Linked DNA regions of Arabidopsis thaliana. The protein of the gene in region 2 interacts with the protein of the main gene of each other region in a pairwise test. Each region holds a gene or a part of one and is shown on either strand. Other genes may lie near its edges.

Region 1 (6,789 bases), on a different chromosome or scaffold from region 2:
GTCCCGGACCCATTACCTTGTGGAGATAACTGTGGAGTCAGCATAAACTGGCACCTAGCTACAGACTATCGAGGCGGATGGACTGCTCGAGTCACACTCTTCAACTGGGGTGATACTGATTTCGTGGATTGGTTTACCGCGGTTGAACTGAGAAATGCTGCACCCGGTTTTCAGAAAGCGTACTCGTTTAACGGAAGTATCATCGCGGTCAACGGGAAGAACACAACTGTTTTAATGGAAGGGCTCCCTGGACTGAACTATCTCCTTGCAGAGAAAGACGGAAAAAACCCGAGTGAAGACTTTCGGATACCCGGGAAACAGCAGTCGGTTATCTCCTTCACCAAGAAACTGACTCCTGGAATCAAAGTTGGTTCCAAAGATGGGTTTCCCACCAAAGTACTCTTCAACGGCCAGGAATGTTCACTCCCTTCTGTACTACCCACGAGCAACAGTCACAGGAAACATGTATCCACCTTTCTTCTCATCCTGACACCATTTTTGGCTCTACTGTTTCTTCGGATTTAAAAGTTCCAGTGAAGGACTTTCCTCATTAGCCAGAAAATATACAGTTTTCTTGATTCTTTCTAACCAGATTTGATGCAGAATTACTTCTACTACTAGTGGTGCTTTGTGCACCGTGTGATTCTTGAATTTCGTATGATCAGATTTTAGTAATCAGTATGTATACATACAAATATTGAACAGACAAATCCCTTTGTGTTTTGATCTTGAATTGCTTTGATTTCACGTTGTGGCGTTGTACTAAATTAAGTTTGTTCGAATTATTCTAAGCATTTACTCGAAATACATACTTACAAAACCCTAAACAGCCTCACTACATAAATGAGGAACAAAAGAATCTCCAAGGATATTAACCCCTAACATGAATAATTATTTCTTATATAATCTGCCATTTAAAATTTCATGCAGACTACATATATATCAAACAAGTTTTAGTAGATCGTCGTGTAAAAATGATACAGTACAGATCCGGGTAGTCCCTCCGGTTTATCGGTTTTTTTATCCAATCAAACCGGAATGTTATCGATGGAGTATGCGTCAAAGTCGAATTCGCCATCAACCGGTGCAATCCCTTCCTGTATATCAATAATTCAAGATTGTGTTTTTCAACTTTTTTGGTTCACTGATTTTTTTTGTTATTTAGTTGTAATTTGCATTATTATGAAAAAGACATGCGACCAATGGTGAGAAAGCGTCTGAGAGTTGTTATATATTTGATTTTGAACGCAAACATGTACGTTGACGGATCAGATTATGCTTCTATATAAGTTTGACAAAAAAAAAAAAATCAAATCAAACCTGCTTAAGAAGTGCGCTCATAAGATCTTCTTGATTACTATACTGCTCGTGAAACGCCATTGTTGCTGTATCCGTAGCCACTCTCTCTGATTTCACCCTCACTGAACCACCGTTTCCGTCTGCATAAACCTGATGGTGCTGTACCATTCCCGATGGTGGCTGCTGGTGGTTTCGGCCATGCTCGGTGGCTGCAACTGTCGTGTTGTGTCTTGACATGGACGAAGAAGAGTAGGCTTCTGAAGCGGAAAACGCAGCGGATTCTGAGTCCTGATGTGAGTCAAAGGCTATTCCAATATTCCTCAGATCCCAATCATTCTGTCTGGTGGTGAACATGTCGTAGCTCGGCGTAGTGAAACCCGCTTCGGAGCTGTTAACCTCTTCCTGGTAAGAAGTGGCTTTCCGAACCGGTACTGATATCCCTGGTGCACTTGCCAGCGGGAAACTGTTCACGGGAAGTTCTGGTTGGAAGTTGTTATAAGGCATCGAGCTTGATGAGTGTTGTGTTGTGAGATTAGTGTAACTTGTCGGTAACACTCTGCTGCTCTCGGGGATATTGTTCCTTCCAGAGAAACCACTTCTCTCGGAAATGCGGTTTGATAACATCGGCTGCCTGATGGATGATTGCGAAGAGGTTAGCATAGGCGGTGGTCCCCGAGGCAAAGACTGCTGACCCGCTAGAGGCATCAGCATTCCGTTGTTTTGAACACTATTTCCAGCTCGAACAGCAGCAATCTGTTGTTGAATACTCATTCGATTACCCATAGGAAGCTGCTGTTGTAAACCCGTGGGGACACCGTGAAGTAAGTTCATCTGTGGTTGCTGTTGGGGTTGTTGCCCGTGATGCCCAAGCCCTTCTCCAAATCTTGTTTTCGTGTTGTCAAAGCTGAAGATGCTTCTCTCATCCACAATGGAGGAAACCGGCAAACCTGACTTAGAGACCATCGCAGGCCGGCCTAAACCAGCGGCTTGAAGCTGTGCAAGACTCTGTGCAGGTAACTGACCTGTGACGGCTAGTGCTTGAAGATCAAACCCATTCAATGTCGAAAGAGGTCCGAAGCTCGCATCCTGACCCGTCATAAACGAGTTGTTAAGATTGCCTTGGTGCTGCGATACCCCTCCAAGCCGTCTTAGATATATCCGGTATTTCTGCAAGTCCACATAAAGCCGCTAAGAACATCTAAGCATTTCAATGGCTCATTTTGGTATCCAGTATAAGATTTATACCTGGAGGTGACTTGCTACGTTTTCTCGGGTTAGACCAGGAACATTCATCAGCTCTAAGATCTTTTTAGGAACCGCCTCTGCGCCATAGAAGATCATTTAGACCCTGAGCATAACAATCACAAATGCAAATGTAAGAAGTTTTAGTCTTACTCTCAACGCCGAGCTGATTAACAGCAGCAACAAACTGCTGATGCAATTCAACAGACCAGACGACACGCGGTTTCTTCAAATTCGACGCATCTTCGTCCTTATCATCTCCTTGCTCTTCTCCTTCCTCGTCTTTCCTCTTCCGTGAACTGCTCCTCCAATTGTTACCTTCGTTAACCGAGGATGAGTTATCATCCACCGCATCCTCTCCACCAGAAACAGCTGCACCACCACCACCTCCTCTATGTTGCTGCTGCTGTCTCTCGCCAGTCTCCTCAATGCTCCCAGAATGTTCCGGTACACTCCATTCACTTCTCCTCTTCCTAACTACATGCTGCCATATGTTCTTAAGTGCCTCCATACGTACAGGCTTGATAAGGTAATCAACCGCACCGTGCGTTACTCCCTTTAGAACCACACTCTTTGAATCATCCGCAGACATCACTAGTTAAACGAATACAAGATCAATAATCTATAAAAAAAGATTCAAACTTAGATGAGATTTGAGGGAGTAAAAAGAACGTTACTGATAACAGGTAAGTCCATCTCTAGACCAACATGCTCAAGAAGCTTGAAACCGTCCATGTCAGGCATATGAACATCACTGATTACTATATCGAATCCATGTTTGTTCTTCCGGAGCAGAGACAATGCCATCTCTGCTCTGTTGCATTTCGTTACTGCATGTCATAACAACCAAAATGTTTCATATCTTCAAAGATAAAAGAAAAAAACAGAGATTTGAATTCTGACAACAAGGACCTCATGAATTGACATTTAACCAAAACTCAAGTCAAAGATCAAAGACTCAAGATTTGAATCCATTTGAAACCTCCCCTAACTTATTATATACAATGGATCTACATGTGAATCTATCAGTAGATCAAAATGGTGTGATCTAAATGAAGAAGCTCGAGATTAATATGTGAATCTTAAAAAGTAACCAAAATGGTTTCTATTAAAGGGGGAGCAAAGTTAGTCAACCACCGATATGAAAACCATAATTATTCCTCAAAATAACATAATTTTCGAGAATGGACCACAAATAAACCCATCATTGGAGCAAGAGACCATGAACTCTCTTTCTCTCTCTCTCTCTCTCTCTCTCGTGAGATTAAACGAACAAAAAAAAAAAAAAAAAAATGAAAAGAGAAGATCTTGGTTTTTGGATACGAACCTTCGTAAAGACAAGTCCTAAGCATCCTCTCTAAGATCATGAGACAAGTTGGGTCATCGTCAACGACAAGAACTCGAAGACCAGAAGGAAACATCTCGACGACGGTCTCACCACCACCTCCTTGATTTCTACCGGAGCTGGACCCACCAGCCGATCCGAGTCCTCTTCCGTGACTCGGATTCATCATACCTCTCTCTATGTAGCTCGAACCCAAGAAACAAAAAAAGAAAAGCAGAAAAGAATATATACCCAGAAAGAAAGAGGGGAAATTGACGCGAGTTTTATTCGATTTAAAATTGAATATTATGAGAGAATACGAAATTGTTGGAGATAGAAGTGAATCTCTTCTGGGTAACCAAAAAAAAGAAGAAGAGAGAGATGGTGAGATGAGACTTAGGGAGTTGAAGAAGACAAGGCTTGTCTCACCTTAGAGCTCTTTTTCTCTGTTTTTTTATTTATTCACAGAGTAAAGCTCTCTTAATTTTTCCTATTCAATTTTTGTAACATTTAGATGCAGAAGAAAAAAAAAATGTGGTTTTTATATACTCAGTCATATATATTTTTTATTTACATATATGTAGAAGCTGACATGTCCTTTATTTTCATCATTCTCTCTACATTTAGACTATTGGTTTTATTAAATTTCATTTAGATCCACTCTCTTTTTTATTCTCAATTTCTTACAAGTTAGTTTTGTATATTATATGTACTATTGTTCTATATTCTGTTTTATTTTTCTATTTAGAAGAACATTTTGGATGTTGCTTTGAGCTCAAATTCTGGGTTATTTTGTGAAGTAGTGAAATATAGGGGTTGAATCATCAATGAAAGAAATATAGGGTAAGGAAATTTATATAATTGGGAAGAAAGTGGGACCAAAGACCCTTGATTCGTGGATCCAGCTCATGCATGAAAAAATTAATTAACTCGTCATATGTAAAGTTTGCAAACTCAAACCTTAATAGATTTTCATTAGTATTATTGTTGTTAGTTTCCTAATTTTTTGTTTTAATTTCCATTTTCTACCAATTTCGAATAGGAATTTGCCTTAAACAAAAGAGCAGCTGCATATATATATAAAAAATTCTTAGTTTTGATATGCCTATAATTTATTTACTAAACTACCCTTTGAATTTATGTAATTGAGAAACAATGCCTCCTGTCTATTGGACCTACATGTATTAAATTAAACGGCAAAATAAAAATATAATCATATCATTAAATTAAACAAAATAATACGTCTACGCACATTCAAGCATATGATTAAGGTACCAAAATACACCTAAGCATTTCCCATCATCACCTACATCTTTAGCTAAGATATAGTACATATACTTTTATCAACAAAAAAAAACCAGATATATGATGTATACATAACATAAGATTACTCGATGCCTTTTTTGGTGCAAATTAAACATATAACCTTCCAAATTTTTTAGTATGTATTTATTTCAAGTCGTGTGTAACTATGATTAGTAAGAATATAACTTATATAGTATACTTTTCATGTTTTAATCAAAAACAACTTGTAGTTCTAGGAAATAAATTGTATTAAATGGAAAATAGAAAAAAATTGTACGTTTGATTGTTGAAAACATATATATATATATATATATATATATATATGTATGTATAATTACAAGTTTACAACAACAGTAGTCAGTATATGGTGCAAAAAAAAACATGTGCGCTTCTTCTCTTAAAACGTTGGATACTAAATAAACAAAGAAATAATGCAAATGGTTCATCTGAATGATTAGTAACATCATATGCTACCCACCAATCGCCCTATTCCCCCGAAAGTATATTTTTAATAATGTATAGGATAACAAATCATATTTGACTATTCGATTGCTCTACGACATATTTATAAACACATACAAACCAGTAACTTATTTATAAATGTGTAAATTTGTCAACTTCAATGTAAACTATATCTAAGTTATCCAAGTTCAGTGTATACTTTGCTTAAATAGTTGTTTAGCACCGCCGACATGTCTTATCTTTTTCAAATTAACGATAGTTTTAAGTGTGACATACGACTTGTTTCATATGTGCATCGATACCTAATTTCTTACATTAATCAATGTTATCAAGTAAAATTCACTACTTGTAGTATTTAGAAGGAAAACTCAACAATACGAATATTAAATCAATTAAGTATTTCTTTAATTTTTATGAACTATCAACTATAGTGTATTTTCTTTTGGAAATACTGTACATGTGTATATTTCGAAGAATAAAATGAAAACATTTAATGATAAGAAAAAAACAAATAAATCACGTTGCTGAGAAGCTTTCCCTATTGCGACACGTGTCCACATGAAATGGATAAGATCACTCGAACCATTTGCATCGACCTCTCCATCTATCGTTGTCTTCATTTGTTAAATTTTCCCTATTTCAACAATCATTTTAAAAACATTAATAGAAATAAAAAAAACGAAACTATTCAACATTCCAACTTGTAATTGTTATCGTCAATAGCCACTTATTACCACGAGAGCTTGAATTTGAGTTTAAGAAAGATATACTCATAATTTCATGTTTAGTAGCTTTTTTTTCTAATAGCTTTCTTTACTTTTCCTTACATACGATATAAAACGTAAAAACAAAAAATTGATGATTAATATAACATAAATTTAACTGCGCCAAAAGCTATAATATAGAGAAGGTCCCAAGAAAGTAACCCGCTGAAACCGTATATTCTCTGTAAAAAGTTTTTACTCTTACGATGAGCTTTTTGAGTTTTTAATTTATATTTTTCACTTTATTGTGCTTAGACAGACATGAATTACAGATCCTCCTATTTTATTTATATTTCAAGTACCAACTATAGGTCCATGTCACCAAAAAAGGTTTTGTAGAACACAAATGTTTCAGCTTTTTATGCAGAACCAACAACTTTAATATGACTAACA
Region 2 (5,994 bases):
AAAGCAGAAGGAGCAAGGAAACAGAAAAGGAAAAACAAAGCTGTGATTGACCTCATTTCGTATGATGAGCTCTCCCTTCCCTCTCCTGTGAATGATACTTGCAAGTTTTGTGATGAAATTCTAAGCCCCCGTAAATGCATATTTATATGTAGTTTTGGGGATAAGACATTGGCAAAGTAGAGAATGTTTCAATTAGAAGACGTGCATAATTGTAACGGTCGATACATTGACATTTGACGGGTTAGAGGAATCTATTAGGTATATAGGTAGTACCTGTTCTTTAATATTTGTTTTCATTGACAATAGAATGATTCCACGCGTCAAAGATTTGATTAATGGCCAACTTGCTGCGTTCAACATAATTCTGTCGATATCGAAAGGATACCACGTCTATGTCGATAGGTGGATTCTCTTTTGTTTAATTTTGTGATACATATACCTCTTTTCAGCCGTCCTTATTTATTATATTTGCTCTCTTAAAAACAAGAAGCTGTAAAAATGAAAATATAGCAAGGATTGTTTCTTGACGAAAAAAAGAAGAAGAAGCAAGGATTGTTTCTTGCAAGGATTGTTTCTTACGGTTTGAAGAAATAAAAAGTTAAAAACAGGCCTTAATCAGGTTTTAAAATGTGTAAAAATCATGAAATATACAACTTAAACACCTAGAGAATATTACTATATCATGTAAAACTACAAATATGGAATGATTGGTACATTTTTTCTGTCTGATCTTTTCCGTTACTAGTTACGAATGGACATTGAAATCAAAAAGTCTCATGTGGTTTGGTTCTTCGGAGAATGCTTTCATATTAGCATCATCAGATCAAAATAGAAAGCTTAAACTTATTCAATTAAGAAAAAGCTCCTACAGGTTATTGTTGTAAAACGTTAACTAAAAATTTCTTAAAACTGAATCATTCTGACTTCTGATAAACAAATTCATACAAAAAAGAAAGAAAAAACATGTTCTTATTTGACCAGAAACGTAGTGTGACATATATCGAGGTATGAAAAAAAAAAAAAAAAAGGGCACCTAGATTTACATTACACATTCCAACAACTACATTGGCTCTCTAGAACTTGTTCCTTTTCCCTCTCTATTATATTATAAATGAGCCTTTCTCTAAAGAGAAATTAATCTGCAAATAAACTTAAACACAGCAACCAATTCAAAGATTATAACTGCTGTAGCCACCAACATCAGAAGCTGGTCTATATTCCGAACCATAAGTTTGCCCAGTCAGGGTCGGTGTGTAGGTAGAAGGACCCCCCAGCTGAGAGTATGCTGTTGGTCTGTACTGCACCGGCTCTGTGCCCATGTAGGTGCTCGGGAGCGGCTCTTGACGGTTACTTAGCTGAGGAGGATATGCAGGTACATATCCAGAGTCGATTCTGGCATATCCCCCTGATACCGAAACTGGTTCCTTGTGATTGATGATGAACTCCTACACACACGTAAACAAAAGAATACGGTTATGATGAAGCAGGCGGGGTAGGATGCAAAGCAAGCATAATCTTAGTGTTTATACAATGCCACGTCGCAGAAAGTATATATATATATATACAGATCGAATGTGTTCTTACTTGAATTAGTTGCTCAGCAGTTTGTACTTGAGAAGTTGTGCCTTTGATTTCCACTGTGATTTGATCAGGATGCGGACTCTCTTTAATGGTTATGGTAGCTCCGCTTCTTCGACGGATATAGGCTATATTAGCTCCTTCTACACCAATAATATCCTCTGCATAGGAGAATGGTATTTGCATCGTTTGAGATACCTAGTAAGAGAATCCATTATAGAAACGTCACTACTAGTTCAGAGAAACAAGTTAGATGTGTTAAGATCAAAATCACTGCTGGAAGACTAATCATAACAAGTAAGATGATATCGCTAAACTCGTTTTCAGGAGCTGATGTTGTATTTAAGGGAATCTACCTGTGTCACAAAAGCAGAAGAAACCCGAGCAAGACCTGGGGAGTGTCTGGCAGACAGTACAGGATCCTGACTGTAGATAGAAACTCCCGAAGGCTGAACACGTGAGTCCACCCGAGAATCGCGCTCCAGAAACAAAGGTTCCCTCCGTGCTAAGAGGGAGAAATCAGGCTCCATTAGATTTGACGAAATAGTATGCAGAGATGACTTGCTTTCAGCTAACGGTTCTTCCTGGCGAGTTTGAGAGACCCTAGCTAGATACTGAAGATAAGAAAAGATAACAATAATTCAGAAAAGAAAAAAAAGGGAAAGGAATAATCTCGATTGAAACAAGCAAGCTTACTTGCTTCTCGAAGAGAGGGACAACAGTATGGTCAACTAAAAATCTCCTAAGGTGTCCAACAATGGCTTCTAATGCTTTAAGAATCTTTAAAGCTTCCCCTTGCAAATCCACTATCCTCTCATCCTGTGCAGCATAAAACGGTGTTTCCTCTGGCAGAAAAAAGTAGAGAAATAAGAAACTGGCAACAAAGACACCAATTTTAGAAAAAAAAACAGACATGAATTGAAATAGCAAAAACTAAACTTTAACAATCACAAACAAAGAGATCAATTAGGTAAAAACAGAAAACTGCAGATGATAGATAATACCTTCTGATAAAATACGAACTGATGCACCAGAGTTCTCTACTATAGACTTAATCAAAGATCCTTGTTTTCCAATCAAATTAATCGCCTGCGTTGAAGCAACTAATAAACGCACTGAAGAGAAGACACTTCCAGCGTTTTGAACATCATCATCATCATTATCAGGCAACCCTGAAACACGTCTAAACACCCTCAACACTGCGTCCATTGCCGGTGACATGTAGGCCTCTGGTTCTTCCTTACCAGATATTAACACCTAAAACATAACATTGAGCAAGTAATTAACTTAGTGAACACTTCAAACTATAATTGGAACCATAAAGTAATCAAATTGCACAACTAGGGGATAAAAGTTCACAACTTTAATGATCACAACTCAAGAATCTTCCTACTTATGATTAAGAAACCCTAGAAATAGAAATTAAAAATCCCCAAATTCGAATTAGCTTTGAACACAGTAAATCACGTAGAAGGAGATAGAGATACTAACGATGCGATCGGGAGTATTAACAGGACCATCAAGGACTTTGATACGAGCACGAGTCTCCTCACACATCTTCTTTATAAAGTCACCTTTGCGTCCAATAATAGCTCCGACTTTAGTCACCGGAACGATCATACGAAACACGCAATCACCAGGCCAACCTGGCCACCTCTCCTCCGCGGAATCGTTCGTATCGGGGAAGGTAGTCTCAGCAGCAGCTAAGCTATCGGGCTGATTCAATTCAGGGAAAGCGCCAGAGTTTTCGTCAAGCAATGCGGCGGCACTGAATCCCGCCGGTATAAGGTTTTCATTCTCAGGGAGGTTTATGGAACCGTTGTTCTCAACGGAATCTGCGACGGCGGCCATTTGAACCGGTAACACAAAAAAGATAGCTAAAGAGAGAGACTTTTTAACCTCTGGTGGTGGTTATAGGAATCGCCGCTGTCATATCGTACGACGTCGTTTTGGCTTAATGGTTTGGGCTTTTCGATATGAAACCATTTTAGCCCATTTGCTATCATTTTTGTTTTGTCGAAAAATTGTCCATATGAGCTATGTATTAGGTCTATGTTTAACCAAAGAATGAATACTCCAACTCTTCTCTACTTGGGTATATGTTTGAAGCTTAGGATATTAAGAAAAAATGTTTCACCATATATTTTAATGTTATGTTATATCATATGTATCTATATATAGTATTTTCTTAAATATATGTTTGAAGCTTACTACATAGTAACATACTAGTCATGCTTTCTTTTATACTTTTCCCCCTAAACTCAATCATATGTGGTTTCAACTTTTCTAAGTCATTCACTATTTTGCATGATTTGTATTGATTAAAATAGTTACGATGAATATCCACAGTAATAGCCGCAATCAATTAACAATATAAATAGATATGTAAATAAGAACATTTTCGAACAATATAATAGAATACTATATGAGACAGAAGTGTATTATTATTCATTATACCGTAATTTTGGAAGATTTTAGTTAATATCCGTTGTCTTCATATGCAATATGCAATGGGGATGAAAGGGACGTAACATAGAAATTATCTGCTGGCCCGTAAGATACTTATCTCTCTGCCGCTGCGAGTCCCTTTTTGTATCTTAGTTTTTTAGACTTTCTTGATTTAAGAAAAAAAAACAGTTTGTTTCTATCTAAGTTTTTGATCTTTGATCAAACATTTTTTTTTGGATCAGAAACTAAAATGAGATTTTAAACCGAAGAAGGAAAGTGAAAGACGATGCTATTGAATGAGTCCGTCCCCCATGCTGAATTAAAATTGGGAATTTAGGGCAAAACATATATACGTGTATACGTACGATAATGGTCCCCTCAATACACGTAGATATGTAATGGAAGAGAGTTCACTTGTAGTTTGTAACTATTTGGGTCAATCTTGTACAGTGCCCTAATCGACTCTCAAGGGTCACATGCTTAACATCATACTTATACATTTATCACATTTGAAGTGTCTACTTGCATGAATTGAACTTTTTTTAGTTACTTTCCGAACAATTTCTTACATATATTTATTAGCACTATTTAGCTCTAACTAATTACATCATTACTAATTAACGTCCCCAATCTGTCTATTCAACACCTATGAAAGGTAACATCTACCGTGATGTCAAAAAGAAAAGGTAACATCCATCAACCGTTAATAAGCATTAAACCGCTTTAAATATCTTTGTTATCCAAAGGTAACTAACAGTAACATTAATTAGGCATATATATACATCATCATGGAACACAAACAATCTTCTATTCCTTTACTTCCATTTCCATCGACCAATTAGATTGATGCTCCTTAAAAATGTTTGATGAAGATGTGCTTTACCACTCCAATACATTTGTTTTATATTCAAATCTTTTTTAATGTCTGCTTTTCTTTTATAGTACAAAACTCAGATATGAATTTGAAGATAGATTGAATATTCTGCTTAAAAGGAGAAAAGCTGAAGAAAAGAAAGTAGAAGACGACAGGTCACATGTTGACATGTTGTCATAAGAAAAGAAAGAGTAATAACATAAGAAGATTCCAAAAAATAAAAATTAACTGGGATGGACTTTGGAGACGGTGGCCAGTGTTGGCAGAGAGAGGTTTTATCCTTTCTTTTCTCTATAGAAATAAAATCTCATATTTCCCTCCTTACTAAGTTATAGATTCTCCTCGTATATATATGTACACATATGTTCAATGACTGATGGGAATATAATCTTTAAATATGTTAACTCAAGTACTAAAATTCTCATTTTTCTACGTCTTGTCTTGTTAAATACATAGGAAAATGACTGGTGGGAATATAATCTAGTATATGACAAAGACAAAACTACGTATATTCATCCCTATATTCATCTGATTGTGTGAAAAAAAGAAAAAGAGTAAACGTATTCATATCGATACATGAGAAAATACTACTGTTCAATAGCAGTAACATACTAAACTCGTTTGACACAAACAATCGAAATAATCTCTAAGAAACTGTAAGAAAATCTAACGCTATGACGAAAACGTATGATTGCCCTCTGCCACATATCACTTCCGAATGATACCAAATGGGTCCAATCGTTTCTCATTACCCAATAGCCACGCGACTCTCTTTCTCTCACTCTCCACATTTTAACTTTGAATGAATTTACCTTGCGGAAAAAATTACGACTTACTTCAAACTATAGTCAATAATTTATATTTGTTTTTTTTTTCACAATTTGGTATTATTCTACAATAAGTCTTATTTTAGAAGTTGAGGGTTTTAGTCCAGTCGTTGGGGTTCTAGGGATGTATGAAGACGATAACTTATTTCGAACTGTTATATCCATATAAGAAACAGCACATGGTGCTCTTGTTTTGGTTGATGTAAATCAAGAAATCTTCTTAGTCACATATCTAAAATTCGGTCTAGAAATAGTTTTAGATATTTG

What was found. The genes of interacting proteins can lie anywhere in the genome.
Region 1: the proteins of PEP (region 2) and RR1 interact in a two-hybrid assay, tested with the Arabidopsis thaliana proteins (one large-scale study listed by BioGRID).

The regions. Positions count from the first base shown.
Region 1 is NC_003074.8:5,753,379-5,760,167, reverse strand, and holds RR1 (response regulator 1), read right to left. Parts: upstream 4,348-6,789; 5' UTR 4,056-4,347; coding exon 3,869-4,055; intron 3,813-3,868; exon of another isoform or gene 3,454-3,812; intron 3,372-3,453; coding exon 3,219-3,371; intron 3,136-3,218; coding exon 2,695-3,135; intron 2,622-2,694; coding exon 2,545-2,621; intron 2,467-2,544; coding exon 1,321-2,466; coding exon of another isoform or gene 1,315-1,320; exon of another isoform or gene 1,098-1,314; coding exon 1,029-1,097; 3' UTR 725-1,028; downstream 1-724. Other genes in the region: COBL8 (COBRA-like protein 8 precursor), read left to right, coding at 1-525.
Region 2 is NC_003075.7:13,194,715-13,200,708, reverse strand, and holds PEP (RNA-binding KH domain-containing protein), read right to left. Parts: upstream 3,641-5,994; 5' UTR 3,430-3,640; coding exon 3,070-3,429; intron 2,836-3,069; coding exon 2,583-2,835; intron 2,424-2,582; coding exon 2,275-2,423; intron 2,193-2,274; coding exon 1,935-2,192; intron 1,777-1,934; coding exon 1,585-1,776; intron 1,446-1,584; coding exon 1,170-1,445; 3' UTR 868-1,169; downstream 1-867. Other genes in the region: AT4G26010 (Peroxidase superfamily protein), read right to left, coding at 1-140. UniProt on the Arabidopsis thaliana protein: Regulates vegetative and gynoecium development. In concert with HUA2, antagonizes FLK by positively regulating FLC probably at transcriptional and post-transcriptional levels, and thus acts as a negative regulator of flowering.